Linked DNA regions of Sus scrofa. The protein of the gene in region 5 interacts with the protein of the main gene of each other region in a biochemical or structural test. Links are inferred from orthologs where the notes say so. Each region holds a gene or a part of one and is shown on either strand. Other genes may lie near its edges.

Region 1 (3,674 bases), on a different chromosome or scaffold from region 5:
GCTGCAACTGTAGCTCAGATTTAATCCCTGCCCGGAAACTCCATATGCCTCGGGGTGGCCAAAAAAAGCAAAGTCTATCCAGAGCGCATGGAGGGCTTATTAGCACACGGGTGTTTTATGTCCATCTCTCGTTTGGTGGTGGGCCTACAACGCTCAGTTTGTAGGGGCACCAAAAGCCACGGGTAAATGAACCTCCATCCACCCTCACCTCCCTAGGAAACCACATTGCCACCAACCTCACCTGACACCACCGATTATTTCCGGCTGCAGCTGGACCTGGAACACAGCAGTGTCTTCTGAAACCAAAGCATTTTCTGCCTTGCCGGAGAGTCTATCCTCGCCGGTGATACAAACACCAGCACACAAAAACCACTAGAATGCTCTGTCCTCAACCCATGAATTCCAACAAGCAACCACCACCCCCCCCCGCCCCCGCCTGCCACCAGAAAAAAAAAAACCCAGAAAACAAAGTGAAAACACCAAACCCATTACGACTGAGCTGGGAGGTCTGGATGTCATTTATTGATAGCAGTTTACACACACTTGTTTTCTTCTGGTGGTTGTTTCAAGGCACAGGCGCAGAGCCCTCTGTAAGGGCAGTCTCTGAACGAGGGAGCCAGGAACGCAGGACGCACACGTCTTTGGCAGGCCTGTGCAGCCTCGGCAGGATGCAATCCTTCAAGCTGGAATTCCGCCGGTACTTGACACCAAGGTGGGGGGTGGACAGGAAGTCTGCAGGACTCACATCTCGGTCCAGGGCCGCTCTTTCACTAGCCGAGTCCACTCCAGTTTTAGGACCCTGAGGGGCAGCACATCAGGCCCACCCACCTTCACAGGGGCAGAGTTTTCAGTCCACGTCGGTTGTACACACCTGCTTCCGCTGGCCCCAGTTAAAGAGAATCAGCCTTATGCTGAGAGACAGATCGCTTCCTCTCGGACCCTCCCCAGCACCTCTCTGTGCAGGGACCACTGGAAAAAAACCGAGGCCTGTGTTCGCAGTTCAGCTGCATGGGCCTCAGGTCTTGAATGACTGATCGGTTGGAGGCCACCAGCGTCCTGCCCGGCTCGTCCCACTCACAGCCCTGCCTCTCTTCTGCCCATTGCCAGTGCCTAGGTGGGAGCGCCAGCAGGCCCCCGAGACGGGAGCCAAGTGGGTGTGCATAGGCACTTGGCAATTTTTGGTGGGGAGGTGGATAAAAAGAGGGGATGGAAATGAGAGGAATGAAAGAGCTTCGTCTGATAGAGTAATTAGAAATCCGAAGTGATTTTACTTTTATTTCCTTCACTTTAAGCCAATCATGAAGTTTCACAGTGATTTCTGGGGTGGGAGAAGGAAGGAGCGGCTGAGATCACCGGGGCTGGGGTCCAGTGGCCCCGGGAGGGGCGGGCCTCACTGCGGCAGCTGGAGGAGCACCGACTGGCCGGCCGGCAGGTAGGTGATGTTCCGGGAGCGTGACAGCTGGTACGCGATGTCCTCCGCGGCCTCCAGCTTGCGCAGCTCGATGAGGCCGTCGCCCGCAGTGGCCAGCGAGTTGGCGATCAGCTCCGCCGCCTTGGAGTCGCCCTCGGCGGAGATGATGGCTGCCTTCTTCTGCTGCTCAGCCTACGGCGGGCGGAGAGGCAGAGGGAGACCAAGGTCACAGCAAGGTCGGGGTGCCGGACGGCAGGCTACGGCCTCAAAAGCACCCGGTCAGGCGCCCTCACTGGGCCCTGAAAGGCACTCTGGGAATGGGCCGCCCCCTGCAGGCGGGGTCGGCAAGCACTGGCCGCCCAATCCTCCGCTCGCCCATCATGCCCACTGCTCAGCCCTGCAGGGACATGTTTCTGGTGGCTGCAGAAACCGCTGTCTTGTTTCACAGTCCTCCAGAACACGAATAACAACGCAATGCAGCCCCCCTGCTCTGAGGATCCCAGGCCAAGGAAACCAGGAGAGAAAGAAGGAGGAACCGACCCTCGTCTTTCCCTCCAGCTCCAAGTCAAAGCGACTTCGGTCAAGACCAGCGTGGCTCGGAAGGACCACAGACAGGGGACGCTCCCTAGACAGGAGCTAAACTGCTTCCTGACCAGGACGAGCTCTCCTGGGCTTTCCCTACCCTTTGGGACAGGATGGCATCGACCTGCACAGCACGACCTTCAGAAGGACGGGAGGAGAGCACAGTGCCAAGCCTCTCGGCAATGGACACACAGCTGTTTGGACACACAGCTGTTAAACGGAGGCTCTGGGACTGTTCACTCAACAAGTGATCCTTAGCATCTAGGCCCAGGCACGGTTGTGGACAGGTTCTAGGTGCTGGAGAGAGGAAGGAGAGCAAGAAGTCGCCACCCACACGGAGTGATATGCTCTGGAGTTAAACGTCTACCCATAAACCCCTCTATTCTCTGATTCTGAGGACCCCCTTGGATGAGGACTATAAACCCAAGACGACTAGTCGGGGGGCGAAGGGGGTACAAGAAGCAAATACATCTTTGCAAAGACCAAAAGACCAGGCTCCATGCAAACATGCTGTGTCCCAGCCCATTCTGACACATCTGGACGGATTTAGTGCTTGAGGGAAAAAAAAAAAAAAAAAAAAATCCAGTGATGATGGTACATCTGGCGCAACGTTTGATCCTTTCTGCTGTCAGCTTTCACTGTGTAACCATGGTTAAAAACGACTTCTCAGTGAAGCTGAAAATGTTCCAGAAGGAACATCTTTATTTGTGGGAGAGTGTTTTTGATCTTAGGGAAGTGGAAAAAAAATTACCCTTCAGTGATTTAGGAACATAACCCCACGTATCCCTGACTGGACCCCAAAGACTCTGGAACCAATTGCAGGAGCAGAGTCCCTTCAATCCCCTTCCGATGTCCCGGAAGAAGAGATGACAGATGATGAATTTCCAGGCCACCCAGCAAACCGGGAGGCGGAGCACAGGAGGAAGGGGGAGAGGGGCTCCTGCCATCTGGTTGAGCGCTCACCTTTTCCACCACAAATCTGGCCCTCTCTGCTTCCTGCTGAGCCACCTGTTTGGCTTCCACCGCTTCTGTGAACTCCTTGCCGAAGGTCAGATGCGTCTAAGGGGAGAGAGTGAGCGCGAGACCAGGCAGTGTAATTGCTTAGACAGCGCTGCTGCAAGGCCCCCATGGCCGCTGGAGGAAGAGGCCAGGAATGGCTCTAGCAGCTGGAGGCATCATGAGGCCAGAACACCCTTCCACCTCCACATCCGTGCCCTACCTGAGTGCACTTCCAGAATCCGCGGCTGCCCAAAGTGCCCCTGTGCATCATGCTGCCCCCTCGGGTGGGAAACAGCCCACGGGCGCCAGAAGGTATCACTCAACTGACCACCTCCCTAGGGGAGGAGACATGGGGGGTTCCAGCACCCCCACCGCTGACTAGTGCTCTTCCAGGGTCCTTTGATGGCCTGCTGGAAGCCCCCAGAGAAGCCAGATGGAAAAGTGAGCCCCTGAGAGGGAGGGATGCAGCTGGTTCTCAGGGATTCAAGAGCATGATGCTTGGTGCTTATGGATTAACCAGTCCACGTGTTCCTCACAGCGCCTCCACCACGCAACAGGAGGAGGACGGGTGAGGTTTCCAAACCGGGACTGTGCAAACCACGGTACTGCCTGTGCCTGAGTGCTTCTGGTCAAGGCAGAAGAGTAAGAGAAGGCAGGGAAAGATATCGCTTAGGGTGAAGGT
Region 2 (4,016 bases), on a different chromosome or scaffold from region 5:
CTACCTTTTGGAGCTCTTTCAAAACTTTCTTCTGGGGCTTTCTAGCTGACCCAGGGGTTGTGCTGGGTGGGCAGTGGAGATAGGGGGCTATGAGCCAACAGCACTGAATTTTTTTTAGTCTCCTCCCGGTCTGGGCAACCAGACTGGACCTTCAATGGAGGCAGCGGGAAAGAGGCCCCACGCCAGGACAGTCCCCTCCCCAAGTCCCTCTGCGGGGAGCATGACTCTGCTGGTGGTCACCTCCATCTACAGAAAGAGGGAAGGAGGCCAGCGGCCCCCAGGGACCATGCATCTCCATCACCACCTGCTCCAGCCTCTAGCCCAGAGCTCCTGGTACAGACGTGCTAACATCAGCAACTCCATGGACCTGAGGAAGTAGAGAGAGGAAGCAGGGGGTCAGAGGGAGGAGGCAGGGGGTCAGAGAGAGGAGGCAGAGGGTCAGAGGGAGGAGGCAGGGGGTCAGAGGGAGGAGGCAGGGGGTCAGAGAGAGGAGGCAGGGGGTCAAAGGGAGGAGGCAGGGGGTCAGAGAGAGGAGGCAGGGAGAAAAGGGACAGGGCCAGAAAAGGGCAAGGAAGGGGGGGATAAATCTGTGGCTTTCCTCTCTGAGAGAAGACTGTGACTCTTCACAGGGCCCCAGCCATGTGGGGCTGTGTGAAGCACCCAGACACCTGGACATCAGGTGACAACACCTCCATGAGCTCTGCCGCCTGCCCCCCTGGGGGGGGGGGGTGGAGGGCATCTTTCTTCCCGTCTTCTCTCCCAGAGGAGGCACTGTGGGCAGCACTGTGGGCCCAGCTTCTCTCCTCCTTCACTGCCTGCTCCCCTCTCTCCATCCACAGCCAAGCTGACCCTGCACAATGAGGAACAGGCAGGGGTGAGAGCTCAAAGGGCTTTTCAAGAGTGTAGAGTCCCCTGCCCGGGAGGCCCAGAGAGTGGGTCATGGGGACCACTAGCAGCACAGGTCCGCGGATGCAAGTTCTGTGACGCTCAGCTGACCTCGCCCCAGGGTCATTCTGAAGGCACGTGGGGAGGGGGGGCAGAAGAGCCTGGAGCAGAGATGGGGTGGGCCGCGCTGGGGGAACAGTTGCCACAGCCAGGCAGGCTTCCATCATGCTGGGCGCTCTGTGTGTTTTATTCCAAAGACTTCACAAGAGTCCCAGGAAGAGGGGACCGCCATCGACCCACTGGACCGACGGGGACACTGGAGGTCGGAGAGGCTGAGTCACTTGCCCCAGTCCACACAGATGACTGGCCAAGCCAGGATTAGAATCAGGCCATTGGCTCCACAGTCTGGGCTCTTACCTAGAAAAACCCACCCCCTGGCCCAAATCAGTCTTTTTCACAACAGTGTCTGACTCAGTGAAGCCTCAGCTGGCGTCAGGCAGGGGAATGACCCCAGAGGCCTATTCTAATTCCCACCCCCCTCTCTCTGGCTGCAGACGGCTGGGGGCAGGCACCCTGCTCAGGACGCCCCCAAAGCTGGCCCGTCCAGCTCCCAGCAAATGCACCTGCGGGCCTATCTGGAAGATGGAGGAGTCAGAGGGGCAAGGACGGCAGGATGAGAGTCTGGATGCATCCCACCTTTGTGGGGACCCCCTCCCCCTTCCCTCCCCCACACCCTGGGGCCTCCTCCAAGAGCCCACATCCCAGCCTCTCTGGACACATATGCATTCACTGGCCTCCGTGCCCACACCAAGGGGAGTCCTGGGGGCTTGGAAAAGCCAATCTCACCACCCTTGACAGCTCAGAGTCAAAGCGGACAGGACCAGCTTCCAGCGGACCCGCTCCACCTCTCACCCGCCCAGCAACCCTGGGCAAATGACTGGGTCTGGTCATCTAGCAAATGCTAGAAGCAAACCCCCCGCATGGCCCTGGAAACTCAGTGAAAAGTCAAGAGGCCCCCAGGGCTCCTGGCACACAGGAAGCAGGTTCCTTTCTTTGTGGCACTTCCTCTTGGCAATCAGGGGGCTGTCGGGTGGGGAGGGGCTGGAGGGCAGGCAGAGATCCGGGGGGACACCATCTTGTCTCTGTGAAGCTGGGGGAAGCCTGAATCATGGGCTCCGGAGCTGGCTGCCCGACCCCAGCCTGGCCTCCCCTCTTCCCTGAGGTCCTGAGCAACATCCATCCTGCCAGGGCCGGGGGCAAGAGGAGAAGAGAGCCCCACAGAGGTGCTTGGGGGCCCTCTGGCCAGCTGAGCACAAGAAAGCCTTCCTGGGAAGGGGATCACCCAGGAAACCCACCCCTTGCACCAACACCCATCCCCACCCTTGCCCAAAGCTCGAGGAACTCTGGACAGGAAAAGCACTCCTTAAGCGTCCCTTCTCAAAGGAGGTCTTTGCCAAGGCTGGGCTGTGGGGGAGGGGGCACAAACTGGCCCCCTCCCAGCCCCACCCCACCCTTGTTCAGGTTTGCAGGCTGAAGCTGGCTTGGGAAGGGGAGAGGGAATATTTGGGGAAAGGACGGAAATGCCTGTTCCTCTCTGAGCCTCAATTTCCTTATTTTCAAACAGGCTGTTGCTCCAGATCTCTTAAATGGAAAGCTTCTAGCACCAAACCTGGCACACGGAAGAAATTCAGTAAGTCTTTCTTTGCTGGGATAAGCACCCAGCCTGACACATGGTAGGTACTCCACTAATTGCATTTTCTCTAAATAGGTGAAGTTGCGGGATTACCCTGGACCATAGTAGGTGCCCATACAGTTTTAACTTTCGCTGGTCCTCTAAAGCCTCACCTGGCCTCCCCTACCCAAGCTTCAAACCTTTCTTCCTGGCTTCCCGGCTTCCCCAGGCTCCCAGTTCTGATGGAGGGTCTCTCTCCTACCTGGGAATGGCGGGCCAGGCCTCTGGCGCGGCTGGGAGGGATGCCTGGAAGCGCCTGGAGGTGCGGGGAACCGCCTGGCTCTCCAGCCGCCGAGCCTTCCAGAGTCTGCGGCGGCTCCCGGGTCACTGCGCCGGACTCCTCCTCTGCGCGGCTCAGGGCGCAGGGCTGGGCGCGGCCGGGCGAGGGGACACGGGGAGCTGGTGTCCCATGGGTGGGTTCCGAGGGCTCAGTGGGGCCCGGGCTCAGGGCGGGCTCCGGCTCGCCGCCGCCGGCCCTGCCCTGCCCGGACCCGGGGGACTCCTGTTGAGCCAGGTGCCCGGAGGCGTGGGGACGTCCGATTCCGGGGGCCCCGCCTGGGGCTCTGGCGTTGGGGGGAGAGGGCAGAAGGGGCGACTCCGGGTCCTTAGAGACTCCGGGAGGGTCCTTTGGAGGTGACTGTGGGTGCGTGCGTATGTGCGTATCCCGGGTGAGCGAACCTATCCTGGCCCCGTATGCCACCTGCTTCGCCCGCCCCGAAGGGGATTGCTCGGGTTGGGGGGTGCCTGCCCGGCTCCGCCGCGCCGCTTCCTCTGCCCTCAGCTTTGCAGGTCCCCGGACGCCCAGAGACGGCTCCTTTCTCCCTGCGAGGTGACGCCAGCGGCTGAAGGAGGAGCAGGGTGTTCGGCTCCGCGCGCGTGTGGGAGGGGGCCTTGAACGCCGCCCCAAGGTTCCGCAGCTTCGAGTTAGCCTTAAATCGGTTCCTCCACCCACTTCACCCCTTTGGCCCCCAGAGGAGGAGAACTTTCTCGGGGCCTCTGGCTCCTCCCTCCTTCTCTCTCCCAGAGGCAGACACCCCCCTTCCTCCCGCCAGGCGAGGTCAATGGTCCCTCCTAAAAGTGATCGGAGCCCAGGCTCCTTATAGCAGTCCCGTGGCAGAAGCTCAGCTTAGGCCTGGGCGCCCTCCGCCGCCCCTGCGAACGGTTCTCCGTGCACCGGTCGCATGGCTCCCCCTCGCCCGCTCCGCAACCCGCGAGCAGCCTGTCCCGCCGCCTGTGCCTGCCTCTGCCTGCTGGAGCCCGCTCACCCGCCTTCGCCCGGCGCCCCGCCCCCGGCTCCGAGCTCAGCCAATGGCAGCGGGTCCCAAGGTCTGGCCCCGCCCCTGCCCGCCCCGCCCGCGGCCACTAGGACGCCGCAGTCCCGCGCTCCGCGTGCCCGGGC
Region 3 (3,500 bases), on a different chromosome or scaffold from region 5:
TTCCAAAAAAGCTGCATTCCAAGATTCTGCTAATGCTTTCCCTTCTTCATAACTGATCACCCTAAAGGAAGGAGAACATCTCACTTCAAGGACTCGGCTCTTTATTACATCAAACACCTGTGACTTGACTTGGGACACAGGCTCCACTTTCGCCAGTTTCTTAGGAAGCAGAAGCAAGCTCTGCTCAAGGCTATCCTGCAGGACGTAGGGCAGAGGAGCGGTTCCGTTACCCCTGAGCTGGGGAACAGAGCAGACGCCGCCCCACGGGGTTCCCTGCGCTCCAGCAAGAGCTCTGGAAGTTCGGGGAACAGGACCCGGGCACTCTGGTACCCGTCACAATTGACTCTTTCATGGTCAGCGAGGCTGTGAGCACCCAGAGACGGGCATCTCTGAAAGGGCCACAGCTGAGCCCTGCTGTGCACGGGCTGTGGGCACTCGGCCAGCGGCTCTCTTCCTCCCGAGATGCTCGGCTCCAGGGAATGGGGCCCCTGGCTCCTGGTCCATCGCTCTGAGCCCTAAGCCTGGCACTCTCCGAAACTATCTGTTGAATAAAATGAGTGCTACCATTGTCTTTTTAGAATCTGCGTTATGCAAAATGGTACAAGAATAAGAATCCAAAGACAACTGTCCTATCGTGCTTGCTCTTTTTTAGAGGAAACCCTTTCCAAGGTGCGTGAGATCTTCACTGAAGTTCTGCTTCTGCTCCGCACAAACACCGCCCCATTTCTGAACCCCCAAACACAGATATGCTACCACTAAAAATATTCTTGCTTTAAGAACAATAATTAAAAATGGAACTTCAGTGACTAAGTCATCTTAGACCTGACTTTATAAATCAGTAATTATTTAGAAGCTACATACCTTTCCATATGTAGGTCTTTCTTATTCCCGACCAACATAATAGGTATTCTATTAATACAAGGGGAAAAAAAGCCAAAGGACACAGATCAGTGCCTGATTTGATTGTTCCCGAGATACTGTTCTGAGTACATCTATCAAAAGAGCGAAACCATTATTACTTACTGCACTTTCCCCACCATGTCCAACAATTTGCCATGGATGACTTTAATCACTTCAAAACTATAAAACAAAAAGCATGAAATTAGACATTCATTTTAGTGATGCTTTAAAGCGTTTGTTATGTCATGTGTATAGTGGGAAAAACTGAAGCTGTCAGACTCACTGTTTTCCTATAAACCGAACACAAGCAATTCCTTTACGGTCTCTCACCACTCTTTCCCTCGTGTGTGTATTCGACACTCAGTACCCTTACTGACACTACTCCAAGTGGAGCAGGGGCGATATTCAAATAGGAAAGTCTAGGCTGACTGAATCTCTGAATAAGCATTTGTGGACCGTTCCTAAACGCGAAGGCTCTACGCACACGCGGTCTGTGCTCCACACTGACATGGTGAAAACAGACCCAGAGTAAATCAATTAGTGCGTTTTCCATTTCAATGAGCAGCCAAGCTCAGATGGTGTTCAATCATTACCTATCTAGGCAGCCTGAGGCAAGAGGCAGAGGTTTCCTGCCGTCAGTGTGAGAACACCTTCTGGGATCGTTTTTCCCCGTAACGACCTGCTTGCTCCACAAGACAACCCCTCGAAATCATGCAAGTCCAGCCGTAGGTACCAGCAAGGACAGCGTCATCCCTTGGAGGGCTGATGCTATCTATGCCCAGCAAGCACACTCAGGCAAGCAGGAGAAGGGAGTCTTACCTTTTGATTGATGTAACAGAATACACGAGGATATAACCGTTAATATCTATGGAGTATGTCTGAGGGAAGATGGAATATTCATCCTGCGGAAGAAACACGATCACATGTGAGCAGAGTGTTCACAGAGCATAACCAGTACCCTTTGCCCCAAGTTTCTCACATGTCACCTCATCAGAGAACTCAAAGCAAACAAAAAGTAGATTAATACCTTCTTTAGAAACACAGCCCATACACCCAAGATTGATTAAAGACTGGTGTGGGGGCAATCGCAGGCTTTAAGCCAGTACAGAGAGTGACTCTGGCTAGTCTCAGACTCCGGAGGGAAGGCTACTGTCCGTAGTAGCTCCTGGAGGGACGGAGGGATGACAAGACCACAGGCTCCGTGGTCTTGGACCAAGGGAAAAGCACCATCACATCTCTTACAGGCGACAGTCCAGTGTCTCTTAGCCCTCACAGGAGATGCACGAGTGCTCCGGGTTTGGTCCATCAATCTGTATTTCCTGCACTGAGCCATGAGGGCCTAGCCCCAGTCACTGTTGGGTTGCCACGAGCATTTGAAGAGGAGGAGAGAAGAGAAACAAGACACTAGACTCAGGCAGTAGACTCAGGCTTCTTAGGATCAAACCAACTATTTATTGAGCAACTTTAGGGATTAAAAAGAAAGGTATCTATGATGCAACAGCATATGAGTACCAGTTTTATACAGCTTTATGAAAAACCCCGCTGCTTTAGATACAGAATTATTACAGCATATAGAAATTTCTAATGTCAACTCAGTATTCAAGAGTGCCCCTGTGTGGTACACACATTTCACCCTCAGCTGAAACATAACTGTTAACATACCACACATCCCAAGTGCTATTAGAGAAAAATTACGGCAAAGCCACCACCATCATGTAACCGTCCCTGTTAACTCTGCAATTCCAGTATGGTTATGCTGACTCGGAATCGCTGCCCTAAGTATCTTACAAAAAAAAAAAAAAAAAAAAAAAAAATCAAAGAAAAGCTTTTACTATCAGCTTTGCTATTATACATTATTAACGAGATGACAGCATTTCAACATCACAGATCTTACTACACATGCAAACTAAAACTTTTGGTTTCAGTACTAGTACAACTTTCATTAAGCTGAATTCATTTAAGTGTTGATGATGAAAAACAAAGCCTTAACAGAATGACATATTTTCACCCAGATTAAATAACAAAATTCCAGGAGTTCCAGTCGTGGCTCAGTGGTTAACAAATCCGACTAGGAACCATGAGGTTACGGGTTCGATCCCTGGCCTCACTCAGTGGGTTAAGGATCCGGTGTTGCCGTGAGTTGTGGTGTAGGCTGCAGATGCGGCTCGAATCTGGCGTTGCCATGGCGTAGGCTGGCAGCTCCAGCTCTGATTGGACCCCCGGCCTGGGAACTTCCATATGCTGCAGGTGCAGCCCTAAACAAAACAAAACAAAACAAAACAAAAAAGAGGCACAGTGTAAAATACAACTAGTTAGAAAGTAAAATGGAGGAAAAAGACCCTCAACTGTAACAACAACCAAAAGAACAAAACTCCTAGGAATAAACCTAAGAAAATAAAAGTAGATGATCCATCTGAAGATAATCTTAAAATACGCCCAAGAAAGAAAAGACTTAAATCAGCGGACGAGTGTCCTGCACGCAGTTTCCAGCAAGAATACGCAGAGTCATAGGGGGTATCCATTAATTAATCCTAAATCAATACACACATATAATATAATCCTGATAAAAAGTATGCTTTCTGAGAAAAAAACAGCAATTG
Region 4 (3,500 bases), on a different chromosome or scaffold from region 5:
ACCACAACGGGAACTCCTGTATGCTGATTTCTTTTCAACCTACAATAAATTTCACTGAACTGAAATTCCTGGTCTGACCATGAGATCATGGACCATTTGGGTCCCAGCTTCTTGAGGATTAGAAGCTACTAGCACACATAAATAAAAATGACAAAAGCCCTACTTTGGTGGGACATGAGAAATCAGGAACCATCTTAGCTTTCTGCTTATTCACAGAATAAGACCTAGCAGTGTCCGGCACACAGTAGGTGCTCAATATACTTAGGCAATGAGTGAGATACTGAAAGAAAGGAACTGACTGAGATAGAGTCAAAGGAAGCTAGAACTTCTCTGTGGAATATTTACTTACCAGTGTGTCAATCTCCTCCAAGATCTTCATAAACTGCTCGATGGTGGCTTTTATTCTCCTATCAAGTTTGCAGAGAGCTTCTGCTTGCAAATCCTTGGCCAGAAAACCCTGTGGAAGAATGACACATCACTGCAAGGGTTCTCTGAGGCTGGTGAAAACGCTAAGCCAAGCAGCCACAGCCCAGTCCACACTCCCCAACAGGCTGGGCCAGACGTCAGGCCCACAACTTCACCTCTTGGGAAAAACAGAGAAGCTAGCCCTGAGCCACCCCAAACACTGCCAATAGGCTGCTGGCCATTCTATCTGACGTGGCACACTGAGGCTGCAAATGCCCCAGGATGCCTGGCTCTGGCAAAGCCCCTGTCACCAGTGTATACTCATATACAAGAGGCCCACACAGAAGAGGCAGATGTTAAAAGCATAGGGTTTATGGAGTTCCCGTTATGGCTCAGTGGGTTAAGAACCTGACTAGTACCCATGAAGATTCAGGTTCGATCCCCGGCTCCAAGTGGGTTAAGGATCTGGCATTGCTGTGAGGTGTGGTATAGGTCACAGATGGGGCTCAGGTCTGGCATTGCTGTGGCTGTGGCATAGGCTGGTAGCTGCAGCTCCAATTCAACCCTACCCTGGGAACTTCCATATGCCACAGGTATGGCCCTAAAAAGCAAACAAACAAACAAACAAACAAAACACAGGGTTTAGAGTTTGACAGGCCTGGGCTTTAATCCTGACTACTCCTCAGCATGGCCTGTGATTTCGAGCAAGTTCCTTAGCCAGTCTGTGCCTCAGTGTTCTCATTTTAAAATGGAGATCATAAGCAATGAGATTCTGCTGTATAGCACTGGGAAATAAATCTAGTCACTTATGATGGAGCATGATAATGTGAGAAAAAGGAATGTATATGTGTGTGACTGGGTCACCTTGCTGTATAGTAGAAAATTGACAGAGCACTGTAAACCAGCTATAATGGAAAAAAAATAATAATTAAAAAAAAAGTTTCCTGGAAAATAAATAAAGTGGAGATCATGATGCCCACACCCCAGAGGGTTACTGTGAGGATAAAGAAAAATACATGTAGAACTTTATTTTTTTTAGGGCCACACTCACGGCATATGGAGGTTCCCAGGCTAGTGGTCGAATAAGAGCTGCAGCTGCTGGCCTATGCCACAGCCACAGTAACATGGGATCCAAGCCACATCTGTGACACACACTATAGCTCATGGCAACGCTGGATCTTTAACCCACTGAGCAAAGCCAAGGATCGAACCTGCATCCTCATGGACACTAGTCAGATTTGTTTCTGTTGCGCTGCAATCAGAACTCCAACTTTTTTGGGGGCTGTGCTTACAGCATGTGGAAGTTCCAAAAAATCAGAAATGGTCAGGAGCTACCATTGTGGTATAGGGGAAACGAATCTGACTAGGAACCATGAGGTTGTGGGTTCGATCCCTGACTTTGCCCAGTGGGTTGAGGATCCAGCATTGCCATGAACTGTGGTATAGGTCACAGACACAGCTTGGATCCTGCATTGCTGTGGTTGTGGTATAGGCCAGCGGCTACAACTCTGATTGGACCCCTAGCCTGGGAACCTCCATATGCTTCAGGTGCAGCCCTAAAAAGAAGGAAAAAAAAAAAAAATTCAGAAATGATCAAAAAAGGAGTTCCCATTGTGGCTCAGTGGTTAACAAATCCTGCTATGAACCATGAGGTAAGGTTTGATCCCTGGCCTTGCTCAGTGGGTTAAGGATCCAGCATTGCCGTGAGCTGTGGTATAGGTCACAGACGCAGCTTGGATCCCGCGTTGCTATAGCTCTGGTGTAGGGCGGGGGGCTACAGCTCCAATTAGACCCCTAGCCTGGGAACCTCCATATGCTGTGGGTGCAGCCCTAGAAAAGACAAAAAATAAAATAAAATAATAAAAAAATAAAGAAATGGTCAAAAAAGATTTATGTCTAAGGATGATTGCACATAATGGTAAAAGAATACTGGGTGGTAAGTAATAGAGAAGTGGTTAGGTAAACCATGATACATTCATATGACATAATATGAAATATGCAAATTTTGAAAAGTGTGATCACTTTTTTCCAGTTAAGACTTTTTTTTTCTTTATTGAAGTATAGTTAATCAATAATGTGTTAGTTTCAGGTGTACAGCAAAATGATTGGGTTAAGTATGATCATTTTTAATAACATAAGAAAAAGTTCAATTTTTTAAATGAATAAAAGGAATTTAAAGGGTTCCTAACATGACACCAATTTTTTTTTTAACTGGAAAAATAGATTCCAGTTTTTAGTAACAGTCATCTTTGAGTTAGGTCTTAAAGGTAATATTATTTTCCATTCTAGTATACATATGTCTATTTAAAAGTAAGGTACAATCAGCATATATGAATTTTGTAATGAAAACACATATATATCCATTAATGTTATAAAATGAAGGGGTCAAAAATACGTATGTGGTTTGGGCCTGTTCCTAATCCTTATTTGGTTTCATTACTCCACCTCTAATATTAGGGGAATTGAATAGGATGACCCCACCACACCACCACAAGATCATGCTCAACTTGGACCTTCTTTGAATCAACTGAGAGAAGCTACTTATTCTATTTCAGGCAATGCATGAACCTAGCACAGCAGGTGTTCTGCCAGGAGCACAAATGGATGCTGGCTGGGGTTTGGAAATAATAATAATAATAACACTTATAAAGCACTTAGTCAGAGGCTCAAACTATGTTATTTAATCCTTATAACAACCCTAAGAGGGAGGTACCATCAATACTCCCTTTTTACAGAGGAGGAACATGAGACAAAGGCGAACTTGCCCACTGTAACAGAAACGGTAGAGCCAAGATCTGAATCCAGGGAGTTGGACAACAAAGGCATCCTTGTAACCACACATTTGTATCTCTAGAGAGTTCACATAAAAGGAAGAAAGTCAAAGTCCACAGACAGATTTACCTGCTGGATTCCAGTAAGCTCTTTATTCAACTCTTCCAGTTGGTGAGCTATCTTCTCCACAGATCTCTCCAAATCTTTCAGCTTTTTTAGTTCTACTTCTTCTTCTGAACTGTTCTAAAATATGTAAATTATTATTATTGTTGTTGTTTTTGTCTTTTTAGGGCCGCACCCTCGGCATAGGGAGGTTTCCAGGC
Region 5 (3,500 bases):
TCAGCTTCCCATCACATGCACACTTTCCACCTGGGCTCCCACTTAAAGTTTGAAAGAAAATTAATAAGAAAATATATAAGTAAAAATCACTTTGCAAATGAAAGACTACTGTTGAAATACAAGGGGATTATTATTATCTATTCTGTCAGCCATTAAACTTTCATTTTTAGGAAAGGAACAAAAACAAATTTACTCAAGTTTTGCCTTCAGTTCAAAATGTACCTAAATGTACAACACTATGACTAGGAGGCTCTTCAGGTTCACAAAAGTAGTATAAAGGAAGTTTTGTTTTAAGAAAGTTTTAATAAACTGAGGAGAGTGCAATAGTTAGAAAACTGAGAAAACCCTGGACTGTACTTCCCAACCTTGGAATCTTGCCTTGCCTAGGTACACAGAATAAACACAATACACTGATTTTATACAAAGAATGGAGGGTGGGAAAGGAGGAGGTATAGATGTTTTGAACTAAGGTTTTCTCAAATCTCCCACCAAGCAAAATTAGCACAACTTCACTTTTCCGTTTCAACCTGGTGGTTTTTGTTTTTTGTTTTCCCTCCCAGGATAGTAGGAAACTTTCTGAGCAGCAATTTCTTAGAAAAGTTGGGGTTTAGGGCCAGAAATTATGCAGGAATAACTGGCTAGTGAGTGCCCCACAAAAGAGCTGTGATTTCTAAGCTACCGCCAGCTCTGCCCCAGGGCCTAGAAAATTTACCAAAATAATTTTTTCTAGATAATTTTATCTTCCTCTATATATACTACTGTAATATCATGAAAAATTTTAAACAGTGTGCTTTAATATTCAGAACAAAAAAGTTTTTAATTAGCTGGAAATGTCCAAGGGAGCTTTTCAACACATCTTTTGAATGTACTATTTGTTTAGATGATATGGCAGAAAAGAAGACATTCCAGGCAAGACTAATAACAGAAGGAAAGCCAAGAGGTGGGAAAAAGCAAGGAATGTGAAAGAAATATAAAGCAATAAAGTCTGCAACTGGAAAGCCAATTAATTAAGACCCTAATTGGAACCTCTTACACTGTTTGTGGGAATGTAAATTGGTGCATATACTATAGAAAACAGTATGGAGGTTCCTTAAAAAACTAAAACTAGAGTTATGATATGATCCAGTCATCCCACTTCTGGCCATATTTCCAGAAAAGATGAAAACTCTAATTCAAAAATATATGCACCCCAATGTTCACAGCAGCACTATTTATAATAGCCAGGACATGGAAACAACCCCAGTGCCCATCAACAGACAACTGGCTTAAGAAGATGTGGGGTGTGTGTGTGTATATATATCCCAGAGAATATCATTCTAAGTGAAGTTAAGCAAAGAAAGACAAATATTATATAATAGTATGAAAATGAGTCTATATACAAAACAAACACAGACTCACAGACATAAAGCACAAACTTATGGGTACCAAAGGGGAAAGGCAGGAGGATAGGAGTATGGGATTAATAGACACAAACTACTCTTCTTAAAATAGATAAGCAACAAGGATTTACTGTATAACACAGAGAATTATATTCAATGTCTTGCAACAACCTATCATGGAACATAATCTGAAATATATATATCTGAATCACTCTGCTGTATACCTAAAACTAAACCAATATTGTAAATCAACTATAACTATATTAAAAAACAAACAAAAAAGGAGTTCCTGCTGTGGTACAGTGGGTTAAGAACCCAACTACAGCCACTTGGGTCACTGCAGAGGTAGAGGTTTGATCCCTGGCCTGGCACAGGGAGTTAAGGGATCTGGCCTTGCTGCAGTTGTGGCATAGGTCAGAGCTGTGGCTAGGATTCAATCCCTGGCCTAGGACTTTCCACATGTCTCAGGCACAGCCATTTAAAAGAAATTCACAGATTGTGCCTGTCTATAAGATGATCAGCATGATCCATAATGTCTTCTATAGGCTAATGAATAGCTACATTTTGAGAGGAATGTTCACGTACCACTGTTCTTTGCTTGTTTGGCAAAAAAACACGGATAGTGTTGCTTGTCTTAGAAGAGTCCGTAAGTTTGCCATCATCTGATGCCCGACGCTGATAGCCAAACTGCTGAACTATTGTAGGGGAGATGCAGCTGGGGCCATCAAACACTGCGTCTTTGAATCCAAAACCATTGCTGATCGTCTTCCAGGCCCCCTGTATGTGCTCCATTGATGCAGCTTACAAAATACCTAAACCTGGTTTAAAAAAAAAAAAAAAAAAAAAAAAGACAATTATAATTTTTGAAAAGTAGTTAACAATGCAATAGAGTAATTTTGAAAACAGTTGTATGTGGGCTTTCTTATAGATAATATCTTCTGCTTAAATATATTATTCAGAAAATTTCTACTTTAGTATACTTTTTTATATTTAACTTTTTTTTTTTTTTGTCTTTTTAGGGCAACACTCACAGCATATGGAAGTTCCCAAGCTAGGGGTTTAATTGGAGCTGTAGCCGCCAGCCTACACCAAAGCCACAGCGATACCAGATCCGAGCTATGTCTGCGACCTACACCACAGCTCACAGCAATGCCAGATCCTTAACCCACTGATCGAGGCCAGGGATCAAACCCACAACCTCATGGTTCCTAGTTGGATTTGTTTCTGATTTGCCATGACAGGAACTCCTATATTTAACTTTTTTATTAAAGTACAGCTGATTTACAGTGTTGTGCCATTTCTGCTGTACAGCAAAGTGACTCAGTATACATATACATACACATTCTTTTTACTTTACTATAAAATATTTCATAGACAACTCAGAAATATGCAAAATGGGGACTAGAGATCAAAAGACTCACCAAAGCATATATATCAAGTTAAAAGACAACCTGGAACATAAGCCCAGGTCTCTTAATTTCTAGTCTAATACTTTTTCAATTCCATTTCCCTTCTTCTTTGATTACTGTGTATTAAGTATGAGCAACTACCCTTGAGTATTAGTAACACCTTATGAGAAGTACAAAAAAAAAAAGCGTAAGCCGTAATGTTCTGCCTTTGAGGAAGGAAAAGGAACTAATATTTCTAGGATGCATATTAAGACACTTTATACATAAATGATCTCATCTGGGGGTCCCTTGTGGCACAGCAGAGTAAGGATCCAGCATTGTCACTGAAGCAGCTTGGTTTGCTGCTACAGCACAGGTTTGATTCCTGGCCCAGGACCTTCCATGTGCCAGGGGTGCAGACAAAAAAAAAAAAAAAAATTATCTTATTTGTGTAACAACCCAAAAAGATCTTAAATCCTTTCTCCAACCACCCTTTATTTTACTTCTGTGCCTAAATAAGGCACAGAAAAACCATGCTATTTGCCAAAAAAAACATCCAGGTGATAGGTAAAAGAGCCAAATTCTGTTTATATTTAAAGTACATGAATCTTCCAACATAACATTCACAGTTTGGTTTTAGTGCAGAAACAAAGCTTATAAATAGAAGCAAGCAGAGATAGTCACCTAACAAGAAATAATCATGTTTTAATCAAGCTACAAGAAAACTGCAGTC
Region 6 (4,182 bases), on a different chromosome or scaffold from region 5:
GTTTCTTCAGAGCAATATGCCAACGTGTGTGTTGCAGACATGTGGAGTAACCAGGCACTGAATCTTGGGTGTTTGGTCCTAGGTTTCTTACCTTCTTTGTTCAGGGGCTTTCTCACTGCATACTGATGGACATCATCTTCCTTAGACTGCAAAGTCTGTGGATTCTGCTAGACCTTCTCGGTCCCAGGCGACGAGGGTCGGTGAGAGTCGGTGAGTCCAGGAACATCCTTCTCCCCTTTCCTTATGAGGACAAAATTGAGAATACTCGGATTGGCATGCAACCCTGAACAGATGTGCGCTTTCTTTCTCCAGTCCTCTGTGGTAACGGGAATGCCCTTACTCAGCAGCAGGAGGATGTGGCCATGGGTCAAAACACCCTGCTTCATGGGGAAACCTTGTTTGTTGTTCCCACCACTGATCCAGACCACATAACCCTCCGTTCTTCACCTAGAACGTCAGCAGCAACTTCTGTGGCCATACCTTTCTCATAAAAGGTAAGAAGTTTGGGTTCATCGTCTACGTCAATGAGTTTCTTGCAGCCAGTGGCAGGGAAAGAGACGTTCAGCTTCATCCTGAAGTGGCCGACCGCCTTCGAGGCACCACACAAAAGAGCTGCTGTTGTTTTCTAAGGAGCCCTTAGATATACGGATAATTCGTATGTTGAAATCCAAGCCCCCAAAATGATGGACTGAGGAAGTGGGGCTGCTGGTGCTGAGGTCCTGAGGGTGGAGCCCTCTTGAATGGCATTAGTGCCCTTTTAAATGAGGTCCCAGAGAACTCTCGCCTCTTCGACCACGTGAGGACACAGCAAGGAGACCACCAACCATGAATCAGAAAGTAAGTTCTCGCCAGGCACAGAATCTGCCAGCGCCTTGATCTTGGACTTGTTAGGTGTGTGAACACTATGGGCAGGTTATTTAATCTCTGGGGATTCCTCAGCTGCAAAACAAGGATTAACACCTACTTGGTGGGTTCCTGACAACAATGAAATAGTTCAAGGAGTCTAAATCACCAACAGAACTCCTGGCAGGTACCAGGTGCCGCAGAGCTTCCCCATGTGCCACAGCACCCAGGCCACCATAGTGCCGGCATGTGGATGTTGGCAGGGCTGAGCCTAGGGCAGCTGGGATGCTGGCTGGTCCCTCCAGTGACCATACACATGTGACCGTGTTCTCTGTGTTCCACAGTGAACATGGGGAGCACAAGAGGCACTCCATGATGGGGCCCTAATCACGGCCTGGCCTGGCCTTGCCCTGGCCCCACTGTCCTAGCTCAAGGACCTGTCCACTCCCGGGAAGCACAGCACCCGCTCACATGTGAGGGGCAGTCATTCCCTCCCTCCCCCACACAAAACTTTACCCAGGACTGTTTCACCAGATTTAAAAAGTGTACAGATAGGAGTTCCCTGGTGGCTCAGTGGGTTAAGGATCCAGAGTTGTCACTGTAGCAGCCCAGGTCACTGCTGTGGCATGGGTTCTATCCCTGGCCTGGGGACTTCCACATGTCATAGGCGTGGCCAAAAAATGTAATCGATAGGAGCAAAATTTGTGTTTTTTTTCTTTTTGGATCCAACTGCCTAACTTTTTTTTTTCTTTTTTCTTTTGTCTTTTTAGGGCCACACCCGCAGCTATGGAGGTTCCCAGGCTAGGGGTCCAATCGGAGCTGTAACAGCTGGCCGACATCACAGCAACAGCAACATGGGATCCAACCTGTGTCTGCAACCTACACCACAGCTCAAGCAATGCCAGATCCTTAACCCACTGAGCGAGGCCAGGGATCAAACCTGAAATTTCATGGTTCCTAGTCGGGTTGGTTAACCACCAAGCCACAACGGGAACTCCCGCCTAAAATTTTAAGGGAAAACATATTTCTCTTTCTAAAAGTAGTGTTTGTAAGAATTCAAATGCACTCAGAGAGACAGAGTAGGAAGTGAGAGTCCTTGCTCCCAGCCTCACTTCTGATGGCCTCAGAGGGATGCCAGCATACTCGGTCACCAAGCTGGTAGAGGAGGTTGCCAGCAGCATGGCTGGGGCAGCCCTGAGGATGACCATGTGTCCAGGACGATGAAGACTGGCTTTTCTGACCCGCAGGCAGGAGAGAGCCGAACTGATGAAAAGGGAGAGAAGCTTGCGCCCTTGGAAGAGACAAAGCCAGGCCTCGAGACCCAGACTTCCCTGAACAATGTCCATTGGCCACGCTCCCTAACAGGCCCACCTGTCCCGACGCCCCTAGAGCCTTGTTAGGGAACAGGAAACATAGGGAGGGTCCAATCACACACCCTCGGTCAAATAAATGCCACTTTCCTTTAAAATGCCACCTTGCTGGGGGACAGGAGGCGTTCCATGCTGGAGGAAATGATGGTCTCTTTCGGGTGCCAACACAGAGGGTGAGGCCACAGCCCCACAGGGCCCCTCGGGTTTGGAGGCCCGGGGGAGCGGACCAGATCTGCATACCCTCCTAGCCCCGAGAACCGCCCTTGGACAGCAGGGGCCTGAAAGGGTCTGAGTCCTTTCCTTGCTGTCATGTTCCGTCAGAATGGCCCCAGAGCTGCCTTATGTTCTGCCTTCCACAGAGGCTGCCTTGGGAGGCAGTGCCCCCTTGGTTCTGGAAGCACCCCCTCTTCGAGCCTCTAGCGCGGCTCTTGGGAGTGGGGGGCCACCCAGTCTTACTTGCAGAGCACAGCGTCGCTGTCAGACAAGGCCTCGTACACACATGGGTCACTGTCCTCTTCATCTCCGGGGACCGCCATCGTGAGGCCCAGGAACAGGGCTGCCGTAGCCAGCCTCATGGTCCAGCCCATGGGCACCTGGAACGGAAGGAACTTCAGTGCCACCAGGCCCGCCGCAGGGGGTGCTCTGCCCACCCCAGAGCCCCTGCCCCAGGGGCCCACCTGATCAGAACCCTCTGCTCAGTAGGGAGAAGTGCAAGGGAGAAGTTCCGGCCAGGCTGGGCTCCAGCAGCTAATCCGTACCCGGACACAAGAACCTTGGGCGGACCTGGGCCTCTTCCCAGCTGGACTCAATTTTCAGTCCTGGCTGAGGCCCCTCCTCCACGGAGCAGAGCTGTGCTGTCACTCTGCCTGCCGCCCGCCTGGGCGCAGAGCAGGCTGCAGCACAGGAGGGCTTATATAAGCCTCTTACACAGCCCCCCCTCACCCTGCCCCTCCCGAGTTACCCCTGTGCAATCAGTTGAGCCTCCTCCTTTGACTTTAAAGCAAACTCTGGGAGGCTGGTGACCCCAGGCTTCGGGTTCTGGGGGTGCTCATGACGGCCCCACCTTGCAGGGTTTTCTAGGAGCAGGCATGAGGCTGGGGTGCGCCCTTTGCACCAGCTCTGCTTCTCCCACCCACAGCTCCTCTGCCACCTGTCTTGAGAGCCTCGGGGCTGTCGGATGGTGGTCACGGTTGGACACGGTGACCCTGCGGAGGAGGGGCTGCTGCACAGGGGAGGAGGAGGGGAGGGCCACCAGGCCCTGAGGCCAGCTCTGAAGGGCCAGCTGAGGACAGAAGGGTGTGCCCGGCTGTACCTTGCACTGGTGCTGAACTCAGCACTCTCCCAAAATAATAGTCCCTGGAGAAGAAGGCCAGCAGAGCTGCTCAGGAAGGGGGAAGCTTGCACAACTCACTGCACTAGGAGGAAGGGGGGCCTAGGGCTGCGTTGAACACTTGCCTGGGACCCCTGGGTGGCCTTCGTTCCCTCAGGGAACAGGCCTGCAGGCAGGAGGGTGTGGGACTCTGATTGGAACCAGAGAGGCAGGGGGAAGATCAAAGGCAGTTCCTCCACCACAGGGGAAGGGGGAGGGGACCTCAGACACCAGTTTCTGCATTGAGCTCCACTACTTGGCTGGGGGAGGGGGGGGGTGTTGTCTCACACCTCTTCAGGATGCACCACGTCTTGTAAAAACAAATAAAATGATCCTGTCGCCCTTGTGCGGGCGAAGGAAGATGAGGGTAGGTCTAGAGTACATGCAGCTAGATCTTCAGAGAAACATTTCAGCAGAGCTTGCTTTTCAGTTGAATTCCTGCTTCCAGGACCCCAACTTGCAGCAAAAGCCCTTCTTTGGGGCAACAGACCAAACACATTTCTCAATAATCATACTCCCTGAAGTATGACAAAGGCTCCCCACCCCCATCATTCCCAAGGTCCCTCCTACTGGACAGTGTCTCCTAGCAGCCGACCCACA
Region 7 (4,196 bases), on a different chromosome or scaffold from region 5:
GGGAATCGAGTTGCCTAAAATCTCCGCTAGGCTAAGGGCTTTCATAAATATAAGAATAAAACTCTAAGAACCAAGCTAAAACTTAGCAGCACTTCAGGCCAGTCCTGACGTGCACCCAGGCTCCCCTCCCCTCTCCCTCGAAAAGCAGCCTTTACTGACCTGTGCCCTTGGGAGGCCCAGAGCCCACATAATCGGAGAGGACTGTGCCACTGCTGATGTCGTTGCCCTTCATGTTGACCACCAGGAAATGGTGCCATTCCCTATGTGGAGGAATAGAAGACCATCAGCACCACGGGAAGTTAGCACCCAGTGACAGACAAGACAGTCGGCCCTGCCTTCTTGGCCAGCGCGAACTTCCTGTGCCAGCAAAGGGGACCCAGCTACGCCCTCCATCCTTCCCTCAATTCTCAGGCAGAGGTCAGCAAACTTCTATAAAGGGCCTAACAGCAAATGTTGTAGGCTTTGTATAAGACACCATCTCTAGCACAACTATTCAACTTTGCAGTGATAGCATGAAAGCAGCTATAGACAGGACATAAATAAGTTACCACGGCTGTAACTTTAATCTAGGGACACTGAAATCTGAACTTCACTTAAATTCATAGAGTATTACTGTTCTTCAATTTTTCCCCCATTCCTTTAAAAACATTAAAGTCAATCTTAGCTTGTGGGGCTGTACAAAAACAGGTCTGAGGCAGATCTGGCTCTCAGCCATAGTTTCTAAACTCTCACTCTATGGAGTAAAAGGGAGAGAAACAGAAATGTACACTCAGGCTGAGGCATGGATATGCACACCCAAAACCAAGTCTATTTCTCCCACCACAGCATGTCCAGCAAGGGACTTGGTGCAAGAAGCCCCATGTCACATGTGGATGACCTGATGTTCCCCATCTTTTCCCAACTTGCCTGTATTTGGGGTCCTTCCTGCTGGGAGCATCCGGGTCTGTCAAGACCAAGGTGTAGAGTTTATCTGGATTCAGTCCATCCCATGTAATGCTGGTGGGCCTGCTCTTAACCTGTAGGAAGGAATGGATTTGAAATTTATTTATTTATGTATTTATATATATATATATATTTTTTATGTCTTTTTGTCTTTTGTTGTTGTTGTTGTTGCTATTTCTTGGGCCGCTCCCGCGGCATATGGAGCTTCCCAGGCTAGGGGTTGAATCGGAGCTGTAGCCACCGGCCTACGCCAGAGCCACAGCAACGCAGGATCCGAGCCGAGTCTGCAACCTACACCACAGCTCATGGCAACGCCGGATCATTAACCCACTGAGCAAGGGCAGGGACCGAACCCACAACCTCATGGTTCCTAGTCGGATTCGTTAACCACTGCGCCACGACGGGAACTCCCGATTTGAAATTTAAAAGTCAGAAATGCTGAAGAAATCAATACTCTTTTTTTGACCTCATATTCCTCAAAGGTCAAGCAGAATAAATTGTTAATAAAAACTCAAGTGTACTGACGCTACTAAGGAGCTGAAGTTTAATATACGTTATTTATTTTAGTCTCGACAACACTATGGGGCTAATATCCTAGCATGTTATTAACAGAAAGAGATGGGTCAGGATTTAAACCCTGATACTGAGTTCTCTCAAGTACAACCTGAAATAACAGGATCTTTAGATTGCTGACACATTTCCTAGGGCCTGCTAAAGTGAAATCTGAATTAACTGGATGTTTAAAAATGCAGAGAAAATGAGAAAGCCGAGACGGGCAGACGTGAACAGTGAGTCCGGGAAAGAGAGGCTGTGAGATGGACACTTTATATTTAAACAACAAATTCTAAACATTTAAACCAATAAACCACCCGAGCAGTTTATTCACACCGTTGCCTCGGAGCTTCTAGACCAACAGCTTGCCACAATGTCAGGATTCTCCACTCCAGAAGCAGCCAGAATCAGGCTGCGCTTCAGCCTTGGGCGTCAAAGGCCAAACGGTAAATAAAGCAAGGCGGTTACCCTCGAGCCTTCCAGCTGCGGAACGTACTTACTTTGGGTGGCTTCAGGCCACAGATCGCTAAAACAAAGGACGATCGCCGAGAACTGCCGAATACTGGTTACATAATGCGTCATATGCCCTCGGGTGGAGCTCTTACTCCCGAAATTAAGGCCTAAAACCCCCTGGCCCTAGGGGAGGCTCTGGGGGCTTGTGGGCAGCCACTGACCTCTCCCGCCGGCGACTGCTCTCTCCCCGCCCCTACCCCAGCGATCTAGGTTGTCTCCAGACCTACGCCACTGCCAGCTCCTCGAAATCTCCAGGAAAATAGATCCATTTCCCCTGCAGGCCGTGCCCCGCCCTCCACGTGCCGGATTCCCGGGGCCCGGAAGGTCCGCAAACCTGCGGCACGGGAACCGCGACCCCCTTTCCTCGGTGGATCCGCCGCACGGAAGCTGGAACTTCCTCCTCACACCCGCTGGGTCCCCGCTCTGCCGGCCTGAGGGCCTGCCGGCCTCAGACAGCTGTACCCCCTCCGACTCGGGTACCTGGGTAGGTGTCAGCACTTTGCCCAGCTCGTCGACCTCAGCCCCGCCGTATTTGACCTGCAGCGGGTGCTGTGGCCGCTCGTCCACTTCCTGCAGGCTCAAGGGCCCGGACCACTTGCCGAGGTCCACTGGCATCGCAGGGTCGAGCGGGGCGCAGTGCAGGAAGAGCAGCAGAAGTAACACGCAGCGAAGCTGCACTGGGCTCAAAGCGCTTTCCAAATTGGACGGAGGCAACGCTGGTCAAGAGGCCCTGGAGCGCATGCGCTTGAGCAGCGCCCCGCCCCGCTCCTCCAGTCGCTGGCAAGGGTGGGCCTCATTGTGCCCTCTGATTGGTCGAGCCCGGATCGTCCGGCGCGCCAGGTCAATGCAGCAGGATTGGCCTTTCTTTTTGCAAGAAGGCGCTTGCAACCTGCCACCCGCGGTGTTCCCAAACACTGTGCCAGAGCTTGCAGAACTCTTTTTTCAAGATGTACATTTGAGCTATCTTTAATTTTTTTAAAAACCTTTTTGCATGGTTTTTTGCTCCACTTTTCTAAACGCAGAAATGGTAAGGCCTTGCTTTTCTTTTGCATTTCTTAAAACAAGTGTCATTGCACAGCCGCGCTGTATTTCGCGCATGCTCACTGGTTTCCGAAAACTGGGAGAGGACCTAAGGTAACTTTTGAGCATTTTTTCCCCAACAAATATATTTGCACATATATTTGATCCCCCTACACCCACTGGATCCAGACAAGATTCCTGGGAAATGATGGGGTGGTTTTTTCTTTTTTAGTTGTTATTTGTTATTTGAGGGAAAAAATTTTAACCTGTCTATCCAGTTCAATAAGGATGAAGTTAGCCACTGCAGTCCCCATTCTACAATACACCGTGAATGGAATTCAAAACAAGAAGAGAATGAGGCACTCCGGTTTGGAAGAAAAAGGCAAAACACTCAGATATACTCCAGGAGAATTTTTTTTATGAATCCAGATTCTTTCCTCTTCCCATACTTAGAAAAGCACTAAGCTCGTGAACTGAAATATCTGCTCCCAGTGACTAGTAGCAACCTTCTACCAAGATGGATGCTTGATTGAATGTACCCCTTAGTCAAAAAATGTGCAGGAGTTCCCATCGTGGCTAGTGGTTAATGAATCCGACTAGGAACCATGAGGTTGCAGGTTCAATCCCTGGCCTTGCTCAGTGGGTTAAGGATCCAGTGTTGCCTTGAGCTATGATGTAGGTTGCAGACGCGGCTCGGATCCCGAGTTGCTGTGGCTCTGGCGTAGGCCTCCGGCGGCTACAGCTCCAATTCAACCCCTAGCCTGGGAACCTCCATATGCCGCGGAAACGGCCCAAGAAATGGCAAAAAGACCCCCACCACCACCCCGCGCACGCAAAAATAAAAGTACATATCCTGGCCCCCTACCTCTTTCAAGCAGTTCCTCAGAGCTATCTGAAAGGGAGCCTCTGTCTTCAGTAGTCCTTAGTAAGACACGAAATAAAACTCAACTTACAGTTGTTATGTTGTGCAGTTTTTTGTTTTTAGTTGACAAACCATAGTTACTAGGCCTACTTTGTTGACAAGTGACTCTGCCTCAAAACTGCTCTCCCTGTGGCCACCAATTTCTTTTTATTATATATGACTGGCACTATTTAAATCCAGTCCTTATCTAATTTGACCTTAGGACAGCCTTTGAGTTTAATAATTCTGACCAGGTAATAAAAAGTTG

What was found.
Region 1: the proteins of RAF1 (region 5) and PHB form a complex in vitro, tested with the Homo sapiens proteins (2 studies listed by BioGRID). The link is inferred for Sus scrofa from reciprocal best matches to the Homo sapiens genes RAF1 and PHB1.
Region 2: the proteins of RAF1 (region 5) and RASD2 form a complex in vitro, tested with the Homo sapiens proteins (2 studies listed by BioGRID). The link is inferred for Sus scrofa from reciprocal best matches to the Homo sapiens genes RAF1 and RASD2.
Region 3: the proteins of RAF1 (region 5) and RHEB form a complex in vitro, tested with the Homo sapiens proteins (3 studies listed by BioGRID and IntAct). The link is inferred for Sus scrofa from reciprocal best matches to the Homo sapiens genes RAF1 and RHEB.
Region 4: the proteins of RAF1 (region 5) and BAG1 form a complex in vitro, tested with the Homo sapiens proteins (2 studies listed by BioGRID). The link is inferred for Sus scrofa from reciprocal best matches to the Homo sapiens genes RAF1 and BAG1.
Region 6: the proteins of RAF1 (region 5) and PEBP4 form a complex in vitro, tested with the Homo sapiens proteins (2 studies listed by BioGRID). The link is inferred for Sus scrofa from reciprocal best matches to the Homo sapiens genes RAF1 and PEBP4.
Region 7: the proteins of RAF1 (region 5) and PEBP1 form a complex in vitro, tested with the Homo sapiens proteins (3 studies listed by BioGRID and IntAct, with this or other methods). The link is inferred for Sus scrofa from reciprocal best matches to the Homo sapiens genes RAF1 and PEBP1.

What each region holds. Positions count from the first base shown.
Region 1 is NC_010454.4:25,596,020-25,599,693, forward strand, and holds the end of PHB (prohibitin), read right to left. Parts: intron 3,053-3,674; coding exon 2,957-3,052; intron 1,604-2,956; coding exon 1,391-1,603; 3' UTR 501-1,390; downstream 1-500.
Region 2 is NW_018084968.1:2,087,533-2,091,548, reverse strand, and holds the start of RASD2 (GTP-binding protein Rhes), read right to left. Parts: upstream 2,801-4,016; 5' UTR 1-2,800. UniProt on the Homo sapiens protein: GTPase signaling protein that binds to and hydrolyzes GTP. Regulates signaling pathways involving G-proteins-coupled receptor and heterotrimeric proteins such as GNB1, GNB2 and GNB3.
Region 3 is NC_010460.4:5,813,939-5,817,438, reverse strand, and holds part of RHEB (GTP-binding protein Rheb), read right to left. Parts: intron 1,803-3,500; coding exon 1,720-1,802; intron 1,081-1,719; coding exon 1,024-1,080; intron 910-1,023; coding exon 862-909; intron 62-861; coding exon 1-61. UniProt on the Homo sapiens protein: Small GTPase that acts as an allosteric activator of the canonical mTORC1 complex, an evolutionarily conserved central nutrient sensor that stimulates anabolic reactions and macromolecule biosynthesis to promote cellular biomass generation and growth.
Region 4 is NC_010452.4:33,234,098-33,237,597, reverse strand, and holds part of BAG1 (BAG family molecular chaperone regulator 1), read right to left. Parts: intron 3,421-3,500; coding exon 3,307-3,420; intron 458-3,306; coding exon 350-457; intron 1-349. UniProt on the Homo sapiens protein: Co-chaperone for HSP70 and HSC70 chaperone proteins. Acts as a nucleotide-exchange factor (NEF) promoting the release of ADP from the HSP70 and HSC70 proteins thereby triggering client/substrate protein release.
Region 5 is NC_010455.5:68,609,406-68,612,905, forward strand, and holds part of RAF1 (RAF proto-oncogene serine/threonine-protein kinase), read right to left. Parts: intron 2,198-3,500; 5' UTR 2,172-2,197; coding exon 1,965-2,171; intron 1-1,964. UniProt on the Homo sapiens protein: Serine/threonine-protein kinase that acts as a regulatory link between the membrane-associated Ras GTPases and the MAPK/ERK cascade, and this critical regulatory link functions as a switch determining cell fate decisions including proliferation, differentiation, apoptosis, survival and oncogenic transformation.
Region 6 is NC_010456.5:7,169,836-7,174,017, forward strand, and holds the start of PEBP4 (phosphatidylethanolamine-binding protein 4 precursor), read right to left. Parts: upstream 2,801-4,182; coding exon 2,670-2,800; intron 1,464-2,669; exon of another isoform or gene 1-1,463. UniProt on the Homo sapiens protein: Promotes AKT phosphorylation, suggesting a possible role in the PI3K-AKT signaling pathway.
Region 7 is NC_010456.5:34,527,439-34,531,634, forward strand, and holds the start of PEBP1 (phosphatidylethanolamine-binding protein 1), read right to left. Parts: upstream 2,801-4,196; 5' UTR 2,623-2,800; coding exon 2,488-2,622; intron 1,017-2,487; coding exon 907-1,016; intron 261-906; coding exon 160-260; intron 1-159.